Lepisosteus oculatus: one gene and its partners. The protein of the gene in region 1 binds, or shares a complex with, the protein of each later gene. Links are inferred from orthologs where the notes say so. Each region holds a gene or a part of one and is shown on either strand. Other genes may lie near its edges. The genes, in order: irf2bp2a, vgll4b and zbtb16a.

Region 1 (7,634 bases):
AAAAATGGCCAATAAGCATGCACTATGGAAGACGCAGTCTTGTTTTTTATGTTCTATAATTACCCAACATGTTTTCTGTGTTCCGAACTTGTCATTACACAGAACTGGTGGCATAAAATACATCAGACTGCAAGCCGCAGAACACCGCAGGGATCCAGGCTAGATGTGGCAGATTAAAGCCATCATGTGTTGTGTTGACTGAAATTAAATATTTTCATCTCTTAGCTGAAAACGAAAAAGCTGAGTCAAGAGGCACAAACATTTATCTTACTTACTGAGGCGTCTGATCAAACTTGTCTTCGTGCCAGGCCTATTTTGTAACACGGCCTTTTGTAATGACCAGAAACGGTATGGCTTTTGTAAATAACCAACATAAATCATGATGTTCTCATTGTAATTACTATTTCAAGTTGCCTTGTAAGCACATTTTATAGTCCACCACAACTTTCTGGAAACATGGCAGTGTGGTATGAAGCTTGAAAAAAAGGGTATGTTACAGACAATCTGACAATCACCCTGATGGGGGCTGGCCTGCAACAATGTATAACATCGGACAAGTGCCTTTCTCTTTTCTACAGCCTATTCAGACATAAATCACGGATTGTAACAGCACACAATAGACATCTGTTGAGTATTTTTCCTTATGGAGCTCATAACAGAGGTTTGGGAGGAAGGTTAGATCTTAATCATGCACACTTCCGCTCTGCTACGTATATATATACATATCTCGCCTGGCGGGACTTCCCTTTGCGCATTTCTGTCGCACCCCTCCTGCCACCACATCCCCACCCTTGCAGCGGCTCCCTGGCTCATTCCTGCTGAGAGAGAGGGGGGTTCATTCAGCCTCATCCTTACAGTCAGACTGCCATTCCCCCAGCTAGGAGAAGCAGTACAATACACCCTCAAAGACACATTCATTAGGACCTCACCAAACTACTGACTTGAGAAATGAGGCACATTTTTAGATGAAAGACCACTCATTTATAACACTGCATTTTTCACACATCTCCGGTTAACAAAACCATGTATCTTTCTTCATCCATTGGGCTCCCAACGCATTTTCAGGAGGAAAAAAAAAAGATTTGACCTGACACAAGAATGGTTATTTTAACCCAAACACTCGGGAGTAAACGATTCTGCTGAGTAAAACCAATAAAAACATAGAATCATGTTACATATTACAATGGCAATCTTGGCACTATGTCCCAGTTACAAACTTCTCTACAGTATGGACCCCTATTGTTTGTAGTAGTGTCGCAATAAAGTGTAATGTGCAACACAAACCTTTTGTTTATGTGTGTCTATACAGTGAAAATGCATGCAAGCAATCTTAAAATAAATATCCTGAAGTCCAGTAGTGCAATCCATAACTAGATAACCCGAAAAAGTGTTAATTGATGTCTTCAGTTCACATTGATGTCAAACTAAAACAGCAAAGATATGAAAGAATTTCCTCTTAAGTCTCATCAGGGCTTTTCATACTTTTAACTTAACTCAAATTTTAAATATCCATCCTAAAGGAAAATACATTATTACATGCATTTTTGTACCATTTTTAAAAACTTTCGCAAAGAATTAAAGTAGTTTTCCTGCAACTCCCTGTTACAGCTCAAACTACTTGTAATCTTTTTATATCGCATGTGTTACCAGTGGTCTTTCAAATGAATACAAGGATGAAAAACTACTTAAGAGGAACAGTACAAACGAGGCATCTGGCAGTTCAGACAGATCAGTCGAACTTTCTAGATACAGTCAAATTTTAGAATACATCTCCGTTTGTCCTTGTCTGGAAATGCCTTTTAATTTACAGCAATCACTCAACGTTTCCGCGTCCATTGAGAAACACGTTTGTACCTCATTTATGAAATCCTAATCTAAATCTTGCAAAACTGTGAACCGAATTTTAGGACCACGCCTCTGATTACAAACTAAATATAGTCTTAACAAGCGCCTTTTAGTAACTTCCGCCATTGCAGATTAAAATTAGTAATGCTTCGGGTTTTTTTTTTCTGGGACGTAACACAACTACGCAAAAACAATAATCAGAGCAAGGTCTGCAAGCTAGCATCTTTGAAAAACACCAGCATGCAAACTGAAACAGCACTAAGTAGCCCGAATGCTTAAATGCCATTGAAAGCAGCACACTAGCACAATACTATAATGGTGTTTTTTGGGGCAGGTCTGATTCCGGGAGCCAGGCAGTGGCACTGCGCATGCCCCGGTCTCTGGCTCGGCGCCAGGTGGTTCAGCTTGTTGTTCTAGCGGGGTTGGGCGAGGTAAGACGCGGGTACGTGACTAAACATCTTACTTCCTCTTTCGAACGTCGTCACGAGGGCTTTGCAAAAACAAATTCTGCTTTGTGTCTGCAGATTTCAGACGCATTGCCTCACCCGTGAAAACTGAGCAGCAGCAGCAGCTACGGCCAGTTTGGAATCAGGCCAATTTCATCAAGGCGGTGAAAACAAAACAAAATTACCGGTTATAGTTTTGCCTGCCCTGGTGAAGTTAAATATGCGGGTAGCTGGGCGTTCAGTCTGCTCTCTTGCATTCATGCAGAAAAAGAAATGCAGTTTAAATGATTTTTTCGCGTCCATTGCACGTAATTACGACCCTTTTCTTTCGGTTAAAGCCAATTCTGGATTTTTTTTTCCCTTTGAGAGATCACAGTTTTCAGCGGGAGACAATACCACTACGTGAAAGTACGAAGAATAAAACGTTTTTAAAACTGCACATATTGGTTTTAAAACGATTTAAACATCTTCCGTTTCAAGGAATGACATTATTTCCGATTTGCCCTATGCAATGCGGTGCAAGTATCAGATTGTTACTTTTAAACATCAGTTTGTTATTGTAGTCGGAATAAATAAAGTCCGCTACTTTAAAAACGGGAGATTTTCTGAGGCGCTGCGTTTGTACATCTGCACCTCTGTGGTAGTTTAAAAACAACACGACCTGTTGCTATCTTTTGAACTGGAAATCCCCAGGCCATGCGACAGCTGAAAACCTGAATGCTAAGTGTTTGGTTTCGGCTTCATTTCCTTTGTGTAATTTAAGAAAGCAGTTTCAATAGATTGAAAAAAACGCCTACTCACTCCAGTGTTTAAAATGAATAGAGTGTGCAGCTACTGTAGCATTTCCAATAGTAACAAGCCTGTGACGGCCACATGACAAGGTCAACATAAGCCCAGAGAATAATATTTATTGGCAGGGAGAATATTCGTTCTAATTGCGACCTATTAATACAGTACTGTGCAGTATAACTTGGTTATTTTTGCATCGTGTTATTCGTCTACATAAATTACCAATGCGTTCTATTGCTTTTAGTTATGTGAATGCAATCGGATACATACTATTTATATCGCCGAACAGTAAAATGTAACACATTCGCTACACGTATGTTACAAATTATATCCAGGAATAAACACTCCTCTGTGGCTGCCACCGGCATACCTAAATGTGAGGTTTGTAAAGCCCATCTTTCTGTTGCGTTTATAATTTAGTGCCGGGCTTCACGAAGTAGCACAAATTACGCTCAACGATGTCCGTTTTAATATCCTTAAAGAATTATACTGCCAGTAACATGTGGGGCGAAAATTAGACATGACTTCTGCGTACTCAGGAATTTGTCTTTCTTTTAAAAAAAGAGGGGGGCACGGAGACGATTGCAGAACTCAGTCCGCAGAATGCAAGTCGAGCGAGCTGTTGTTTTCACGGTTAGCTGAGGGCGGTGTCGAGTGTGACGCGGCGCTGGTATTCTGGCTGGAATGTGGATTTGCTAAATGGGTCTGGGAAGTGCCAACTGCATAGAGTCACGTACTTATTGAGCATGCGTGGAACAGCCGGGAAACTGGAGAACATTGGTGACGCAACTGGCAGAGTCTGGTTGCTTAAAGGGCATTAACACTTTGTAGCCGGGATCCACCGTCTCCTTCCAAACGAATACCTACCACAACCTAGTTTTCAAATGCACTAACGCAGCAATATATATATATAAAAAAAAACTATAACATAAGACTACCGCCACCAATTCAGTGATTTCCACCGGTCACGACTGGCATCTCTCCTTACAATTTCCACTTTCCCCCCACAGACTGAAAACATGCTGACATCGCTTTTGTCTGCTGAAATCGGGCGCAATCCGACCTACTGCGACGGTTTGTTTTTTTGCGGTTTTAAGGACACACCACGCAGGAATGGTGTTTTCATTAAAAAAACAAAACCAAAAAAAACACCACCAACGTAGTCCCCCACGTAGGTTATCCAGCACGTTTTTTTTTTTAAAAAAGCAAAGCACATTAAAGTTTTTTTTTCCCTCCTATGAATAAGGTCTTCCCATTGCCACAGTCCTCTCTAAACGGTGCTTTCTTTTTGTTTAATAAATTGAAAGGAGAAACGGAAGCAAAGTACGAGTTGGAGGGAGAGAGGGGGTGGGGGTAGGACAAAACAGCAAACAGTTGAAGTCTGCCTTCCTGCAGTCATCGGCTTTGCGCTCTCGGGCTGAGGTACTGTAGTATTTCTGGCATCGGTTCAATTGATTTTAAAAAAAGGGGGCAGAGACTGCTAGACAGCGCATGCGCTGGAGGGGGGCTGTCGAAGAATCAAGTAAATAGAATTGGAGCTGGAACCACAAGTTTAGTGTTCGCGATGACGTCACCGCTCCACATTGAGCCGGAGCAGTAGTAGTGTGGGAGATAGATAGAGCCGCGCTATAGTAAAGTACACACTGCCATGAACTTCTGTTTGTAACTTAATTGTTGTTGCAGCAGTCAGGAGGGGAAAAAAGGAAACAACAAAAGTTTTTTTTTTCTTTTTCTGGCTGTATCTGATTTTAACAGCAACGAGCACGCAGGCATCTGGAGGAAGACCGTTGAATACTTTTTTTTGCAAAAGCTATGTCGTCCGCGGCGATTGCTGCTTCCAGACGGCAGTCATGTTATTTATGTGACTTGCCCCGCATGCCGTGGGCTATGATCTGGGATTTTTCTGAGGCTGTCTGCAGAGGATGTGTCAACTACGAGGGAGCAGACCGGATTGAGTTTGTGATCGAGACAGCCCGGCAGCTGAAGAGGGCTCACGGCTTCCAGGAAGGGAGATCGCCGGGGCCGGTGAAACCTCAGCTCTCGGGGAAGGAGATCCAGCCCATCAACCACACGGCGGCGGACCCGGGATCTCGCCTGCCGCAGCCCCTGGATCGCTACCCCCTCGCCTCGGACCGGCCGCCGCGACTCGGTCCAGAGTATCCGACTGGCAGGCAGTCTAACGGCATCCCTGTCCCAAATGGATTCCCCAAACCCGACGACCCCCCGGAGCTGAACAGGCAAAGCCCCAATCCCCGCAGGACTAGCACGGTCCACGCGAATATAGTGCCTTTGGTGAACGGGACCCTGCCGCCCGTGCACGCTGTCAACGGCAGGTCGGCGCAAATGGGCATCCCGGCGGCGCTAACAGCGGCCGGCCAGAACGAGATCAGCGGCAAGCGGCCGGCCTCCGTGTCCAGCACGGAGCACGACAGGGAGCTGAAGGACAAGCACAGGGCGGACAGCCTGTCCGAGCTGGGGGAGAGCCACAAGAACCGGCCGGACGAGTGGATTACCAAAGGGAAGACGGTCAGGGACTTAATGGCGTTCCACACGATGGACGGCCGGTACAAGAAGGACCACGCAGCGATGCCACAGGGCAGGGTGATGGGCTACGACGCCAACGCCACCGCTTCGAAGCCAGGTAAGCGTCCCCCGACAGAGCCCCGCTTTTCTTTCGCCCCCTGTTTTCGCTGAGCGTGTGTTTTCAGACCAGAAGGACGCGTCTCGACTGAGTCAGCCTCTCTTGCAGCAGACGTGCTAACGGGTATTTCCGCTGATTATCATTCTTTTCGTGTGAGGGCTCAGGGCTCTACTGTACAGGGGGTGATTACAGTACACAGCAGCACGGTTCCCTGCCCGCCTCATTTTTTCCATGTGTTATTTGTGTTGTAATTTAAAACGTGGGGGTTTGCAGTGCGGATCAAAGAGCGGACCGAAAGCGGTGCCTGTTTAGGGCTTTCATGCATGATTTGATGTGCTTGCCGTTAGCCCAAATTTACGTGTTGTTTTTTAAACTTCCCCAACCCCTCCCCCCCTGCCGCCACCACCACCACCACCACCACCACCAGACAGAGGCAAGCATCCCCGGAACATGAAGAGAAAGGCGTCGCCAGAGCCCGAGGGAGAGAGCACCGCCGGGAAGATGAATGGCGAGGGTCAGTGGCAGCCGGCCGCGGCGGAGGTCCTGAAGATGCCCACGGTGCCCCCGAGCTTCGCCACGGCGCCGTCCACCATCTCGCCCCATTCCAACCGCACGACCCCGCCGGAGGCCGCGCAGAACGGCCAGTCGCCGATGGCCGCCCTCATCCTGGCGGCGGACAACGCTGGGGGCAACAGCTCGCCCAAGGATGCCAACCAGGTGCACTCGACCACCCGCCGGAACAGCAACAGCCCGCTGTCGCCCTCCTCCATGAGCCAAAGGAGACTGGGGCAGAGGGAGGCGCCGGGCGCGGGGACGCCGCACGTGCCGGGCATGGACCAGGTGCACCCGCAGAGCATTCCAGACTCTTCCGTGCCCAACAGCATCCCGCTGTGCTGCACCCTCTGCCACGAGCGGTTAGAGGACACGCATTTCGTGCAGTGCCCGTCCGTGCCGTCACACAAGTTCTGCTTCCCGTGTTCCAGGGAGAGCATCAAGCAGCAGGGCGCCACCGGGGAGGTGTACTGCCCCAGCGGGGAGAAGTGTCCACTGGTGGGCTCCAACGTGCCCTGGGCGTTTATGCAAGGTGAAATAGCCACCATTCTTGCAGGGGACGTCAAAGTAAAAAAGGAGAGGGACCCTTGATTTTATTATCGTTTTTTTTTTTAAAAAAAAACAACGACAACAACAACAAAATATATAAATATAAATTACACGCATACCATCCAAACAAAACTAATGGACTTGTACATATTGGACGCGAGCGAGGAAAGTGTATACTTCATAAACATGGCTGTATAATTTTTGATTTTTGAATACATTGTGTTTCTATATTTTTGAAGATAAAGGTATGTACTCATTATAATGGACTACATTTCCACCCCTTTTTTGTTGATGTTTAAGCCGACTCTCTCGATGTTACCTTTTCGGTCTGGTGGCAGTTTCTGTTAAACGTAGAATGTGACTAATGCTACTCTAAGCACTTGACGCAACTGAAATGCTTTTAGCTGTACTTGTATGCACTTGTTTAAAAAAATTGCCAAATACAATTTCTGACCTTGTAATAATAACTTAGTGTCTGTGATTGCTTATTCTTCGTAATCAGCAAAGCCCTAGAGAGAGGTCTACCCTGCCGATAATGGATCAACGCAGCTAGTGACGCAATTAGCTGGAGCACGAAACCAGCGATAGTGTAACACAGCGCAGAAAAGAGAACCGATATCGAAGCCGTAGGCTTGCTCGTCTTCCTAAAGCATTGCATGTCTCGACACTTCCGCGACGGGCTTGTTTTGGCTCGGCAACAAAATATTTCCCTCATTTGTCAGCACTGAATAACAAAAACTGCGAGGCGGCGAAATACATCTGTGTCGTTGTGTGTGTGTGTGGGGGGGGGGGCAGTGAGTGACCTACTGTAC
Region 2 (7,240 bases), on another chromosome or scaffold:
CATCAAGACGGCAAACTGAAGCATGAATCAATATTGTCAACATGTGACCTGAAAAACCTGAATTTTGACACCGTTGGCAAACCTCACATGCAAAGGATTTCAAGACTTTTGTTTGAATGGTTCACTTTCATTCTTGAGATCATAAGTAATATGATCTATATTAATATGTAATAGTTTAGTACAACATGATGGATTAGCCTTTCATGAGCTTTAGAGCTGTACAGTAAAGGTTCCTTTATATCAAACAGTATAGCTACAGAAAATGTTTCCAATCAGCGGTAGAGCATGTTGCCCTGAAAGTCTTTTGTGTTAATAACCTGAGTTTTTGGAAGTCAGCCTTTTAATTTTATTATTACCTGAATGTCCATTATGTGTGTAAATGTGTGAAACAATAGGCTAGATCTGTTTTCGCTGCTGTTTTTTTAGCTATTATTCCCTCTGCCTCAAACCCATTTAGGACCTGTCAATTTAAAACAGTCCGCATTTGACTGAATATTTGACAAGGTCAACAAAGCATTTCTAGCAATTAGTGAAACCTAGAATGACAGACACTGTGGCTGGTGTCCTGCTGACCCTTCTGAGTGTTTGGTTGATGGGTATTGAAAATGCGAAGTGAAGCAGATTTATTCCAAGCAGTAATTTATTCTCAATCCTCTATTCTGAAGCAGAACAAGTCCTTTGGGGGTGGGGGGATTTCCGACTCTGTGATTCTGGATAGTTTACACCTTTACCTGTCCCCTTAGGAGTCAGTCATCCATCTAACTGTCTAATGAAATGCATTCACAAACCTTCCACAGTCACAGCTGCAGTGTGGATTGATTGAAGGTAGTGAGGTTTGCCCTGATTGATGAGATTTTCATCACTCTGATGACCTGGAATAAATCGCAGGTGCAGAGCAGAGGATTTTGGGAGTGTTGTAATGGTGGTTTGTGAAAGCCTTACCACCTGGGTGTCTACCCACCTGCAGTGCGATGTTGTGATCGTCTAACGTCTTGTCAGGCTCTAAATCCAGGTGGACTAGACAAGTCGGGTTTTGTGCAGTGTAAACACGTTTCAGGTGGAGCCCTGTGACTCCTGCGTGTTTAAACCTAATTCAAGAAGACGTTGCTATATTTCATTTCTTTCATCTTAATGCAAGGCAAACCCAATCCGCAGCAAATGAGAAACCACATGTTCTGGAAACTACCTCTGATGTGTTTTTTTTACCTCTTTATTGGACAGTACAGAAACACAGTGTGCGCCACTGGGTGTTGTAACCTGGAGTCTTTCCTGTAAGCACTGGGCATGCAAGGAGGGCACCCTTGATGCGATGCCTGTGTCCTGCAGGGCATGCACACACCAGGAGAATTTAGAGATGCTAGTTATCATAGCCAGCACATCCCTGGAAGGTGTGAAGAAATAGGAGCAGGCAGAAAAGTCCCATGTGGACATAAGGAGTATATGCAAACTCCAGGATCCTTCCAGAGACCAGTGATAATAACTGTGGCTCTGTGCTGGCCTTACATGCATATATAATAGTTTTATAACGTATAACAAGATCTATCAGTAGGACAGTGCTGTTGATCATCTTCTTACTGAAATCTTACTAATCCCACATCTTAATTAATAATTCCTTACACTTATATTGCACTTTTCTGGACACTCCAGTCCATTTCTCTACCATTTCTAAAGGTTCCTGGGCAGCATGTTAAAGAAACAGAGTAAAGATCATGGATTGCTAAAAAATGATTTGCAGTAGTAACATTGGTAGATGAGAAAATTAAGGAAAATTGTTGCTTAAGTTTTTTTACTTAGAGGTTTCCTCTTCTTATTGCAGCCTGTTAATAAATGATATGTTCTGTCTGTTCAAAGACAAGCTGTTCATGCCTTTTAAAACATCCTTGTTGGACACACTTTCTAGCAAAAATGCTTTGAATTGCTTTACTTCAGTGAGAGTTCATGAGACCTATCATTAAACCCCACAAAATGCTGGCTTTAATTTTTAAAAATTCAAGACCTAGCCTTGAACGTCATGAAAATTGAATTCTGGATATATTTACCACTAGGGGTCAGTGTAGTATTGCATGGAATTTTGCATACTGCGTTTCAAGATCAGCATTAAAGCTCATAGCTTTTATTTAGAAATTTAGCTGGGGATTGTCCACAAAAGAGTTGCAAGTGATGGATTGTCAAGCATCTAGTTGAATTTATGGTTTGTGCTCATGTTTTTTGGAGGAGTTAAAATCTTTGGTTTTACTTCTGATTCTCCTTGTTAATATCAAGGATATGTTTGTTTGTGCTGTAGTATTTATAATTATTTCAGGTTTTACAGACTGAATGGCTGCCCTGTGTCTCTAGATTGTCTTTCAAGTTTCATCTTTAATGAAAGTGGTCTTAAAAAGAGTTCACTAAATCTGTTAACTGTTTTAAAAAGTGTCAGTTAATCGTAGATGTATATGCAACTACAACTTCATGACTAACCATAGTGAATCTAAAGCCAAACATTTCTTTCTTAGTCTGTTTAATGTTTTAATTTCTGTCATCATATTTCAAAGCATTAAGCAGGATGTGTGCACACCTATTACTTTGGGTTAGCTTGGATGGTTATATAAAACTTCTTCCCAGAACCTGATGTTTACTTTTGTGGAGAACATAAATCCTGCTTAGCTAGAACATACTTAACGCAGAAAACAATACTGACTTCTCAGTAATTGCTCTTTGAGAGAGATTATGTAGGGCTAAAATCCTCAGAATACCACAGAACCCTGGGAGATTTCATAATCAACAGAATTAAAAGCTTCCAGGAGACGGTTCCTAAAAATACATTTCTTCACATTTACTTTTTTACCATGCCTTCGAGGGCTAAAACTCATTCATATGAGTACTATTTTCTTTACTGTAAAGGTTTTTCAATATAAAAAGTGTTTTTTTTCCTCCTCGAAGTTATATGTCAACATGCTTTTTATTCTAAACTCAAAGCAGGCATTTCAGTACGATAACCTTTAAATATAACTAAGACTGGAGTTTAGGTACTGATAATTCATCTAAAGACATCTTAACCTATGTTAAAAACACAAGGACTATGCAGAAGCTTTCTTTGGGAAAATGTTTGAATTCAGGGTTGCGTCTTCATTTGCAATATGCAACAAGATGATAAAATGATGAAATGTTAAGAAATAAAACTGCTCATACACATGGTTTCTATAGCGGTTCTATTCTGCTCCTGGCCTATAGATCTCCGTTTAATATTTTGTAATTAATTGTAGCATTGTTAGTACACGTTATAGACATACATTTGATTATTTGATCTCTGGCTGTTAAAGTGGGATTTCTTGGAAAGGGGTTTTCCAGTGTAAAACCACAATCCTCTGTTATTGTAGAGATTGTATCTTCTGATACCTCTATCTTGTATAAAGCATTGTTTACATTTCTGATAGGGCCTTCGCTATAGCTTAATCCATGTAGAATGTGAGACTTTCCTAAGCTGCAATATTGTGTACATGTCTTACTGCTCTGAAGTCCACGATTTTACCTTAAAAGTGTTTTTGAATGTATATTTGTGTTATTGTTGCTATCAACGTGTCGTTACACTTTTTGAATTGTTACTGTGTCAAATACAGATGTTAAAAACCAGATAAAGTAGCCGTGGCCTGCCAAGAAATTTTTAGAAATAACGGAGACATTTGGTTGTTTCAGCAGCTTGCTGATTACTGATGTCATGTCAGCTTTGCCTTTAACAAAGTTTTTTTTTATAATTAATATAATAATTGCTTACACTTATATAGCGCTTTTCTTGACACTCCACTCAAAGCGCTTTACAGGTAATAGTGACTCCCCTCCACCACCACAAATAAATATGAACATTTGTGAATATTTTTTTGTCCAATTAAAAGCGGGATAGTTTAAGAATTAAGATCAGTTCATTGACAAGCAAAACTCCTAAATAATATTTGGGCGTACAACGGGCAGATTTCAGTCTTACAATCTCTGTATGGAACAAGACTTTATTATTAGATCAACCGGTTTTTTTTTCTGTGCTCTTGCAGATTTTATACTGAACTCCAATGATTGAAATGCTCTAAATATAAATACTATGTGTGGGGAAAGTAAGGAGACTGTGCATCCTTGAAAAGACCTCTTTGTATTTTATTTTCGCAGAGGCAGCACTGTTTCCTGTGACACGCAGTTCTAACATGGCTCCGCCTTTTTTTGGGGGGGCCCCCTTTCCATCTCTTCGTGATTTCCCTCACTCGCTCAAGCCCTCGACGCTTTTGGAGGGCTGATCTTGTGCAGAAAAAATCCCTGACATTTGAGGCGCTCCAGGGATTTAACGAGCATGCCCAGTGGCCAGAGCCTACATAGAGGAAACTGGTTTACATACGAGTCATACCACGCATAGCCTGCTTGTCAGTGCAGTTAACTTGCAGCGGGCTGTGAGGAGAACTGGCGCGTCTCTCTTTTTGTCCCAACAACAGTTTCAAAATCTATTTTTAAAGCGCAGCATACACAAGGGTTTTCTAAAAACCTTGCGAAAACCGCAATACGGCCCCTTACTTTTAAAGAAAGCATCACCCCTTGACGGGTTGAAGTTTTTTTTTGTTTTGCTTAGAGAGAAGTTAAAGGCTGGGCCTTTAGCTTTTGAAGTTGTGTGCTAGACAAGCTGAGCGAGCGGTCGTGCCGTTTTCTCTCTCTCTCTCCTGGGTGGAAGCAAACAAGCTGGTCTTTTTGCTAACCCAATAAATGCTTCTTACGAAAATGGACCTGTTGAACTACCAGTATCTGGACAAAATGAACAACAACATTGGGATTCTTTGCTACGAAGGTAAACCGTAACTTTTCGCGTGTGTGTGCGTTTCTTTTACCCCTAGCGTTTACATTGTTGCTTTTCAAGGCCATTGTTGTAGTAGCGGTGTCAAATTATCCAGGGGGGTTTTCAGATGTTTTTTTAGTGACGTCTTCGGATCGGTGCCTTATTTTTAGCACACAAAACCTTGCTTTCATGAAAATATATCGCCTCTGTAATTTAATGTTAACACGATTTGATGAGATTCCTTGCTACGTTGCATAATTAGTAATGTAACAGGTTGGCGGGGGGAAAAAAAGTGTCTTGAGGGCACGGAAATTGCATCACGTCCCAGCTTAGCTGGTACAGACTACTCCTTTTCCTACTACTTTTAAAATAACATGGTTTCGGAGACGTGACTTCGTATTAACAAAGGGATGCCGTCGTCTGGTTTTTGACAGTGTTGAAATGGCAGTGTTCAGAGGTGGGGCGGGTGTAGTACAGACTTCAATCTTTGTTTGACTTATTTCCTGGGCTGAACTGAGGACGGGGGGAAAAAAAAATCACCGACAGTGGACGATGTTTCCTGCCCCGTAGTGGGGAGTAATCGGACACACTAACCCCTCCCTTCCTTGAAGGAAAGCGAGCTTTTATCAATGAGGAGATCGAGTTCGTCGTGTAGTGAAAGTTAATTGCTGTGCTGCTTATGAAATATGTGCTGAGTGAGGTGTCCGGTGAAATATCTTGCGACCACGTCTTTACTACGTGCAAACTGAACGAATTACAATGGCTTGCCGACATAACGGAAAGAAGGCCGTACTCGACTAATTAGATTTGAGAATGCAGTGTTTTTTTGTTAACTGAAACCGCACACAGACAGTTGCTGCAATTTATTTCTAGGGAAGGCCAGACGCTTTCCCGAAGTTTGGAAGTAGTTGAGAGAAAGTTTAGCGTCATTGTCATTTGGAGAGGAGAGATTTGTCCTTGTAAAGAGACATATGGTTTTCATACTTAGCTTAAAAACTTTAATTGTTTAAAGGAAGATTCTTTACAGACCAGTTGCTGTGGTCTCTTTTTTTGCTTTCCTGTGATGTGTCCGGTAATTTAAAACCTAGTTCAACAATAAAACGTTTTGAATGTCACGCTGCTGTCACAACGCAGTGTGGCTCTCAGTTTTAGAATTCATCTTTGATTTCTATCATAACCACAGAAATCACAGTCCTGAAATGGTTTTTCAGGGTTTAACAACTATACCGGGTGGGGAAACTAAAGACATCGCGGTAGTTATGTTTCTGTAAGATCAAAACCAGTTTTCGTATACAGTACTTGTTCAATGTTTCTGTAGCTTGTCTTGTTAGAATGTTCCAGTTGTGATCATCTCCAGTTATCTGAAGATCTTGACTGTAAAACACTACAGCAGACAGCATTTAAAACCTGGGCTTATCAGATACTCTAAAGTTCAAAATTAGCCTTATCTGTGTTTTAGTACTACTGTATATATTTGAGCTGAGGTATGATGTTTAAGTTAGCAATGCAGCAAATGGACACTTTTCTGTGCTAGTGTGGAGTAGTGAGATCTGCTGATGGTTTTCCTATTAAAAGCGGTTCAAGGGATTCCGTTATCTGTTGAATGTCTTGAGGTTTGAGCTTATCAGAGAAACTCCAGGTCTTGTCTGAATGGTCTGGGAGTCTGGGCAGCTGAAGCACTCTGTACCAGCCTCCTGTTCACAGCAATCACTTGTCAAATGACAGTAATGTGATATGGGCTGCATTCTGAGCAGAAACATCTGTGGTTCGTTCTGATTTGTACTCTGTTCAGATCAGGAAGCCAGTGCACTGTAAGGTGGCGAAGCTACAAAGCGTTCAGGTTTTTCATATTCTAGTTCTGAAGGTAGCAGAAAATGTGGAGTCCTGGTGTAAAACCTTTAATTGCTCCGTTGGCGAGCCAGGGTTTGTGCTACGGAACTTTTAAGGAAGGTTTTGGATCCGTTTCTCCAATTTACAGTTGCAAAGAAAGGCCAATCGTAGACAATGGCAACGAACTAAGCTGTAAGTTTATTCTCACGTGTGGAGGAGAAGTTATGTTGCAACATGTGTTTCCCCGTGTTGCCATTAAGGTGCAATGTTTTACAAGGCCATTCCAAAGATTATTGTATATATACAGAACCTGCTTTGCAATGTTTCTGCATTCGAACTGTACATTTACAGTAAAAAAGAAGAAAAAGTTTTAGATTAAGACACTTTCCAGAACTTTCCAGTGATCCTTACTACATGGCTAACTTAGGCACAGCACTCTCAAAGACTTTCTTCTCTTTGAAATTCCTTAGTAAGCATGCTCGGGGCTTAAAGTGTTTTGAACTCAGTAGGTGTTTCTGCTGCAATCAGTCAAATCAAAGAAAGTATTTGTAAGAACCCCCGAAGTGTGGCAAATCTTAAATATCAGCAATCTTTGGTCATAAATTCTTGAATTGCTGTGAT
Region 3 (6,954 bases), on another chromosome or scaffold:
AAAAACTTCAGAGGTCTCTGTATAGTTGATTTATATTGATTACAGTGTCAAATTCAAAACTATTTTATATGATGCTGTTTGTTCCTATTGCTTTGTACTGTACAGTATATACAAAGGTATATAGAGTTAAAGTACATACCAGACTATAGACTATAGATAAGTACTTTAGACTCAAGGTGTCCACTGTAGTCAAGGTGAGAGTCGGGGTCTGATCAAAGCTTTCCCTGTTACCATCTCACCATTTGGTCTGGGGATCACATGTATTAGTCAGCAATCCACAGTTGTATAGGTAAATTGATTTTCTATGCAAGTGCTTACCAGTCTCAGTTTGTAATGGATTGTGGAAAGCAGAGTTTCGGCATAATACAAAATAACTGAAAGCTGGAATATGTACAGTACAGATTTTCTTCTCTGTGTGTAATACGAGTCCCAATACCATCTCCCATAACTTTTACTTTGCAATCCTGCACCTCATTGTCATTAATAGATGGATAAATGTTTTACAGTGTTATCAGAGCACTTGCTTTCAGATCAGTGGCTTCAGCTGTGTACAGCAGGTGTTATCTTGCAGCTCCTCGTTCTGACTCTGAATCAGAGTGGCCCATAGTCTGTGTCAAAGGCTGGCAAACTGCCGAAAAAGCCCAGCCTCCCTCTCTCACCTTACTCGTCCTAAACTCAGGCATTAATCTCACTTTAACGGCATTAACCACCCCCAGGCTTCAAAGCAGGGCCTGAGAAAACAGAAAGGAAGATTTCTTCACAATGAATATTTGTGGTTGTTCCTCGCTGCCGAGTGTTGTTTCAAGACACCAATCCCCTTTCTCTCAGTGAAACAGGGATTAATTGAAGATTAAGGCCTTTCCTTTTTTCTGTATCCAGAAGTAAGTCTCAGGAAACCAAAGCACAGAGGTTAAAAAGTACCTTGTGACCACAATCTGAATGACCCTGAAATTTTAATCGTGGTGGAGTACTTTTTGCCTTTTTATTTGGAGAATAAAGATTATAATATTTTCGTCAATGCCATATGTATATTAAATATTTCTTTTTACAATCTGTGGTAGTCATAAATAATCAACAATGGGTATTTGGAACATATAGAATACTGGTTAGTATTTTATTCACTGTATGGATTAATTAATAGTCACGCTCTTGAAGCAAGCAACAAGGCTTTCAGTCTGAGTCCACAGTTTATTTTTTTATGAGCATTGTGGTTCTGGGTTTTGAAGCTCTGAAGACAATATACTCTTGAGTTGATGTTTTTTAGGCCAATGCCTGCACATACAGTAAATTAAGGAAGACCTGCTGCACACAAATCTGTATTCAAGTACTAATAAAGGTGTGACCAGAAATAAGTTAGTTCATATAGTTCAATAATGATAATAATAATAATATGCCACTGTATCTTCATAGGTCAATAAAATAGTGTTCTTTCTTACAAAAATCTGTACCCTATGAAGAAACTGCTCTGCTGCTCACTTTATATTCACATCTAAAGTTCCATTGAATGAAAGGCGCATTTTTCCATCACTAACACTTGCTCAGTGCCATCATTTCCAATCTGATATCTTATGTATATTTTTGGAATCCTTGAAAAGGTTATGATTTTCTATCACAACAGTGCATATTGTGTGTGTTTAAAAATGCATACGGGGTTATTTATCTTGTGATTATCGAAACAGATTTTACACAATACACAGAGCACCTTCATCTTTACCACCTTTTTGAACACCCAAATAACACAGTTCAAAACTTAACTTCATGCAGTAATGCAGCTAGCTAAAGGAAATCATTTAGAAAAGCAATTAACAGACTGTTAAACTAATACAAATGCAAACTATACAGTATGTTAAAATCTAAATACCATACTGTACTTTAGGTGTACTATCGCTATTACTACTTCAAATAATTATGATGATGATAGTAATATTGCTTCATTATTAAGGCCAGTATCCTGCACTTCAGCCTTTACATTTCAAGAGTACATTTATGGGTACAGTGCATGTATATCATTCAAAGGAAAAACAATTGAGTCGTGGGTAATGCCGCAATGTAGAAAGTTTAATGGTAAATACCGTATACAGTATATGTGCTTTAAAACAGAGACTTACTGTACAAGGAAGCAGAACTAACAGCTTATACACCAGCCTTAACTGTGTAGCTATTTTAGATAGGGAAAACCACCCCAGGAAAGCATTTCAAATTGTTAAAACAATGTCTATAACATGAGTCTATCAGCTGTTACTTTCATGGAATATTCATAGCTTGAAGAACACACTAGTCATATGAATAGACTGGTTATTTTAAAAAGTCATTGGCACAATGGGTCCTTTTCTCTAAGTGTAATTTTGTAACTTAAAGAAGTGTTAAGAATAACATTTAACCTACTGGTGGGAACATTTTTATTATCCATAAAAATAACCTGCAAAAGTGGTGTGTTTTTTATGCATTCTCATACTCTACTATTTTTTAATGACGGGTACCTGCAGGTCAAATTTAAAGACTAATTATGTCACTTTTTTTTTAGGAATTATGAGGACGGCGCAGTGTATTGTTTCATCTTTCAAGTACAAAACGTTCAGTGCATTGGAGGAATCTGATGTACAACTAAGCAGTTGCGTCTTCCCGTGTCTGTCACGGGATACAGTGTAGAGCAAACTGCTATAGTACTTGTGGAACAATACTTGTAGCTTCAGAAAATCTGATAACTCAGCGAGGATACTATTGAATACAGTATGTCAATCGGGGCTTTGCATGTGCGCTGTATCTTTAAAATGTGTAGATCATCGACTCCATATTTGATGCTGGCAGAAGCGATGCTTTAGCGCTGTCCAGCACTTGTTTTTAGACCTGGTTAATCAGATACTACCCATAGTTACATTGTTACATGTTACAGTGATGCCTAATTAAATTAAATCTAGGCGCTACAAGTGACCTGCAAAACGCAACTGATCGAGCAAAAGACCGTGTCCGTGACAGCGGGGTACTGTCAGGAATTCACTTACAATTATGAAGTTGCGGATCACATGCGTGATGTTGAAATACAGTTTTTGCTCACCACGACGCACGGAGTATTGACTTCTATTGACGGGATCTGTACATCATTTGAAACATCTGATTAAGGTCCGCTAAATGTGCTGCACTGAATCTAACACGCGCAACATATGACTTAAATATTGCTAATAAATCGGGTTTTTTTTTTGCAGCGTGTGTGTTATATACATGGCAGTTGTAATGCCTGTTAATGATCTGCAAAAACAAACATTGTTCACCTGTTTATTTGGCGTCAGTGAGAATTATTTATTTATAGGCTTCTTACACGTTATGTTTTAACAAATTGAGTGTTATGCATAACGCGGCCCCATGCATTTTGTACTTAAAAGTCTATAGTCATTCATATATTTTTAAAAATGTATCATTTCAGGACGACAGTTTACACGTTTTTGTATTCAAGTCTCACAAACATTTTCCATTAAACGTTATTTCACCGTCTAGACAGTGCTATTTTAAAAAAACCTGAGGCTGATGGCATTTTACTGTATGGCATAATTAGTTCCTAAACACGTCCCTCCAAATTTAGTACGCAATTCCTTTCCATCATTTTTCTGTCAGTAAAATGATTTTAGCCTGTTACATTACTCTTTTACAGCCCCGTAATCCGTCATTTGTAGCGCATGTTATTTAAAAGAGCATTTCCACACGTGCCAGATTTAAAACTCCGGTTGAAAAACAAAAAACAAAAGGCGAAGCACACCAAAACTAATCATGGCGCTTCTGTAATTTACTGTATCTACACACGCTCGAAAATACTTTCTCCGTAGTTTTTTTAAAGCCAGCATTAAAGATGGCAGCCCCCTAGGTGTCTCACTTTCGCAGCGTTTTGTGGTGCTAAAGAAAGAAAAAGAGTGAGTCAGTGCGGTGACGTCACCACTGTGTTGATTTGCTAACCCTAAAGCAGAGAGGAGCTAGTGCGTGTGAGAGCGGGTACTGTGAACTGTTGCGTTACTATGCTGCTGCCCCAATAACAACACATTCGGAAATTTAACGTGCAACCTAGGTAAGTACACATATCTTACGGGCTAGCAGCTTCTACACAAATGCATAGCAAACAGTCCCGTCACTCTGCATGCTTATTTGTTTTTGCTCTGCTGTTGGTACAGTAAAAGTGTAAAGGACCAACTCGTCGGTAATGTTACGCTTAACAAACCCCCAGAAGTTACACTGTCTCCAATACCGTGTCGCTAAATCGAGGTCTTCATGATCGCTTTCAGGAGGGGGAGGATGTTTTCGCATTTTGCGAAATACACTGCAAAAGTAATGAGACATTACTGTATGATATTTGGAAATCCAAAGTTGTTTCCATTTGAGAGATTTATAATCATATATATATATAAACGAATTCTGATGTTGACGCTGCTCGCTGTTTTAGTATTCTGGAGATCGCAACAAGAGAAACGTGTGGTCTGACTGTACAGTTGACTGCTCAGCAGACAGTGCCTACCTTGTGAATAGCTTTATCATATGAGGAGATACCCATGTTCTGAATCTGCGGAAGACTGTATACAAACATATTATCATCACAACCATTGTACAGGGTCATTTTATGTGTAAATATTTGTGAAGTAGCTGTAACAAATGCAGTGGCTTCATGCACTTGATGCGTTTACAGACAGTGGTCGCGGGAGCCGTGGTGTGAAATTATTACCAACACCGGTGTGGGTTAGGAAGCTGAACATTTATTGGGCACAGAGATCAGACGGAATGATACTGCACATCATACAGACGAGAAAGTGTTGGATTGGTAGCTAAGGGCTAATAAATCGCTAGATTTTTGAAGCCACCAATTTTCTGCAGGCAAGCCTTTGCGGGCAAAGAAAATTATTTTTAAGGTCTTCTGTAACAGTGAACGTGCAAGGTAGGATTTTACTACTTAGGTGCCTTTTAAAAGAATCAAATAATCCAGCATGGAATTAACATGTCAAATGTTTCTTATTTTAGCATTATGAGAAATTACTATAGGCGATTCACGTGGGTTAATCAGTGGCTTCTCTGAAGTCACCAATTAAAAGCGTGATTCAATCAATTGTAGTTGGGAGAGATTTTTTTCGGGTAGTGGATTATTTTTTTCCGAAATCTCGGAGAAGCAGCGATGTTCAGTAAGTCATTGTGACGGTGTTGTTCTGTTACTGTTATAAATATGTATTAGCGTTTCCATAACATGTTTTCTTTTTCGGGAAATGCGTTATTTTGGTCTGTTTCTCGGTACGCATTCTGTGTTTAACGATACAGTCTACGTTGAAGCCCGGAGTACAGTGGATAATTAGGCAGGGGTAGCATTAATTAAAAATTGCTGTTGTAAAAGTGCGGTGTTTTGTTTCTTGAAACCACAATGTATCGACTTTTTGTGGGTAATATAAAACCGTGCTTCAAAACATTTATAGTAAAATATAGCCTGCTATAACTGTTTACTCCTTAAGAAATATTAGCTAAAACACGAAGCACTTTTGCTTTTGCGCTCTGGAAAGTGCCATGATAGTAAATCTTGTGCGCTTTGTATATTAAGACAGTTGATATTTTTGTGGAATATTTTATAAACTACTTAATACGTTCAGAAGTTTGTGCTTTTCTCCCATGTGTTTTACTATTCTGCTAATACTTTTTAATTTTTTCGCGCAACGGTTAATAATGACGTTTCATGTCTTATAAATAACACAGTAAGTGGAAATTCAATTGAAGTCGTAATCCGACGTCCAATAGCATGTAAATCAAGTCAGTATATGTGCAGTAGACGTGCTTCTTTCGCATGATGACCCTAACCCCACATTCAGATGTCATACAGTATATTGTATATCGATTTAGTTTTAATTATATCGTTACAGAATGCGTTACAGATTTAAACGTATCATTGAAAGCGTTACGAATTGTATTATGTTTGGCAAGAAAGCACAAAATGGGCTATTTCTGATTTTATTCTGAAAAAGCGATGTAAAAGGTGCTCCCAAGAAGTTTTGCATGTTTAAAATACTCAGGGGATATTATGTGCCATGTAATTTATTTTTGCTTATAATGCGCGAAGGTCCATAACGTGTTAAATCTTTTCCCTCGATTTATAGATGAACGTCGTGTTAAGACGTTTAAAATAAAACTATGAAACAAAAATAAGTTTTTTTTTTCTGCAGTAGCAACTGGACTGTCTTATTTCGTGCGTTGGATGAGTTGCATTACACTTAAGAGTTTGAAAAATGTTTTCTGGTAGGCTTTAAGAAAATTCCCAGTCTAAAGTGAAGTGAAGCCTCAGATGATAAAGATGATAAAATATTAAAGATGTTTGTGTACACACATTCATGTACCTTTGTGGTGTTTGTTTACATAATATGTGGTGTTACATTTGCTCAAAACCCAAAGTAGGCAAGTAACTCTTAACATGTATTTTCACAATTTAAAGAAAACTCCAGTTTATGTACAGTACTGAATGCTTACTACAAGAATGCTTCGTGTTGAAATCCCCTCCCTGTTGTGAATGCAGCCGTTTGATTAACCAGTCACATTCCCTTGTATCTGTACAGTCTGCTGATTTACTAGCAATGATTAGGTTTAATCTGTGTTTTGAATGCACTTATAACCCTTTTTCGATGAAAGTATTATGGACCAGAAAGATGCTGTATTTATTTTTATTAGGTAATGCACTTTACTCACCATTAATGTGTAAACTATTCGTTTGCTACGCTTGTAATGCCTGGTAGGATCGATAAAAAGTAAAACGTCTTTCTTTTAAATGCGCAAAAGTTTTTGTTGATATGAAAATGGAAATATGGAATCTCGATCAAAGTTAGACCTTGGCTTGATAGATTTCGTCTAATGCTGCTCTTTTTGTTTAAAAAAATGTAAAGGATTTTTTGCGTCTACAAATGTGCACATTCGTGATTTAAGTTTTCTTTTTGTGAGTTCACAGAGGTC

Evidence for each region.
Region 2: the proteins of irf2bp2a (region 1) and vgll4b are in contact, whole or in part, in a crystal structure (PDB 8YTF), measured with the Homo sapiens proteins. The link is inferred for Lepisosteus oculatus from reciprocal best matches to the Homo sapiens genes IRF2BP2 and VGLL4. Residues at the interface, in NP_892017.2 of Homo sapiens: Thr516, His517, Phe518, Val519, Gln520, Pro522, Phe531, Leu557, Trp564, Ala565, Phe566, Met567, Glu570, Thr573, Ile574; in NP_055482.2 of Homo sapiens: Arg161, Ser163, Val164, Ile165, Thr166.
Region 3: the proteins of irf2bp2a (region 1) and zbtb16a are in contact, whole or in part, in a crystal structure (PDB 8YTH), measured with the Homo sapiens proteins. The link is inferred for Lepisosteus oculatus from reciprocal best matches to the Homo sapiens genes IRF2BP2 and ZBTB16. Residues at the interface, in NP_892017.2 of Homo sapiens: Thr516, His517, Phe518, Val519, Gln520, Pro522, Phe531, Leu557, Trp564, Ala565, Phe566, Met567, Glu570, Thr573, Ile574; in NP_001018011.1 of Homo sapiens: Arg285, Ser287, Val288, Ile289, Thr290, Ser291.

The regions. Positions count from the first base shown.
Region 1 is NC_090712.1:6,536,444-6,544,077, forward strand, and holds irf2bp2a (interferon regulatory factor 2-binding protein 2-A), read left to right. Parts: upstream 1-4,579; 5' UTR 4,580-4,892; coding exon 4,893-5,721; intron 5,722-6,148; coding exon 6,149-6,864; 3' UTR 6,865-7,289; downstream 7,290-7,634. UniProt on the Homo sapiens protein: Acts as a transcriptional corepressor in a IRF2-dependent manner; this repression is not mediated by histone deacetylase activities. Represses the NFAT1-dependent transactivation of NFAT-responsive promoters.
Region 2 is NC_090699.1:62,081,907-62,089,146, reverse strand, and holds the start of vgll4b (transcription cofactor vestigial-like protein 4b), read left to right. Parts: upstream 1-4,233; 5' UTR 4,234-4,719; coding exon 4,720-4,801; intron 4,802-7,240. UniProt on the Homo sapiens protein: May act as a specific coactivator for the mammalian TEFs.
Region 3 is NC_090718.1:9,938,870-9,945,823, forward strand, and holds the start of zbtb16a (zinc finger and BTB domain-containing protein 16-A), read left to right. Parts: upstream 1-3,944; 5' UTR 3,945-4,054; intron 4,055-4,422; exon of another isoform or gene 4,423-4,912; intron 4,913-6,954. UniProt on the Homo sapiens protein: Acts as a transcriptional repressor. Transcriptional repression may be mediated through recruitment of histone deacetylases to target promoters. May play a role in myeloid maturation and in the development and/or maintenance of other differentiated tissues.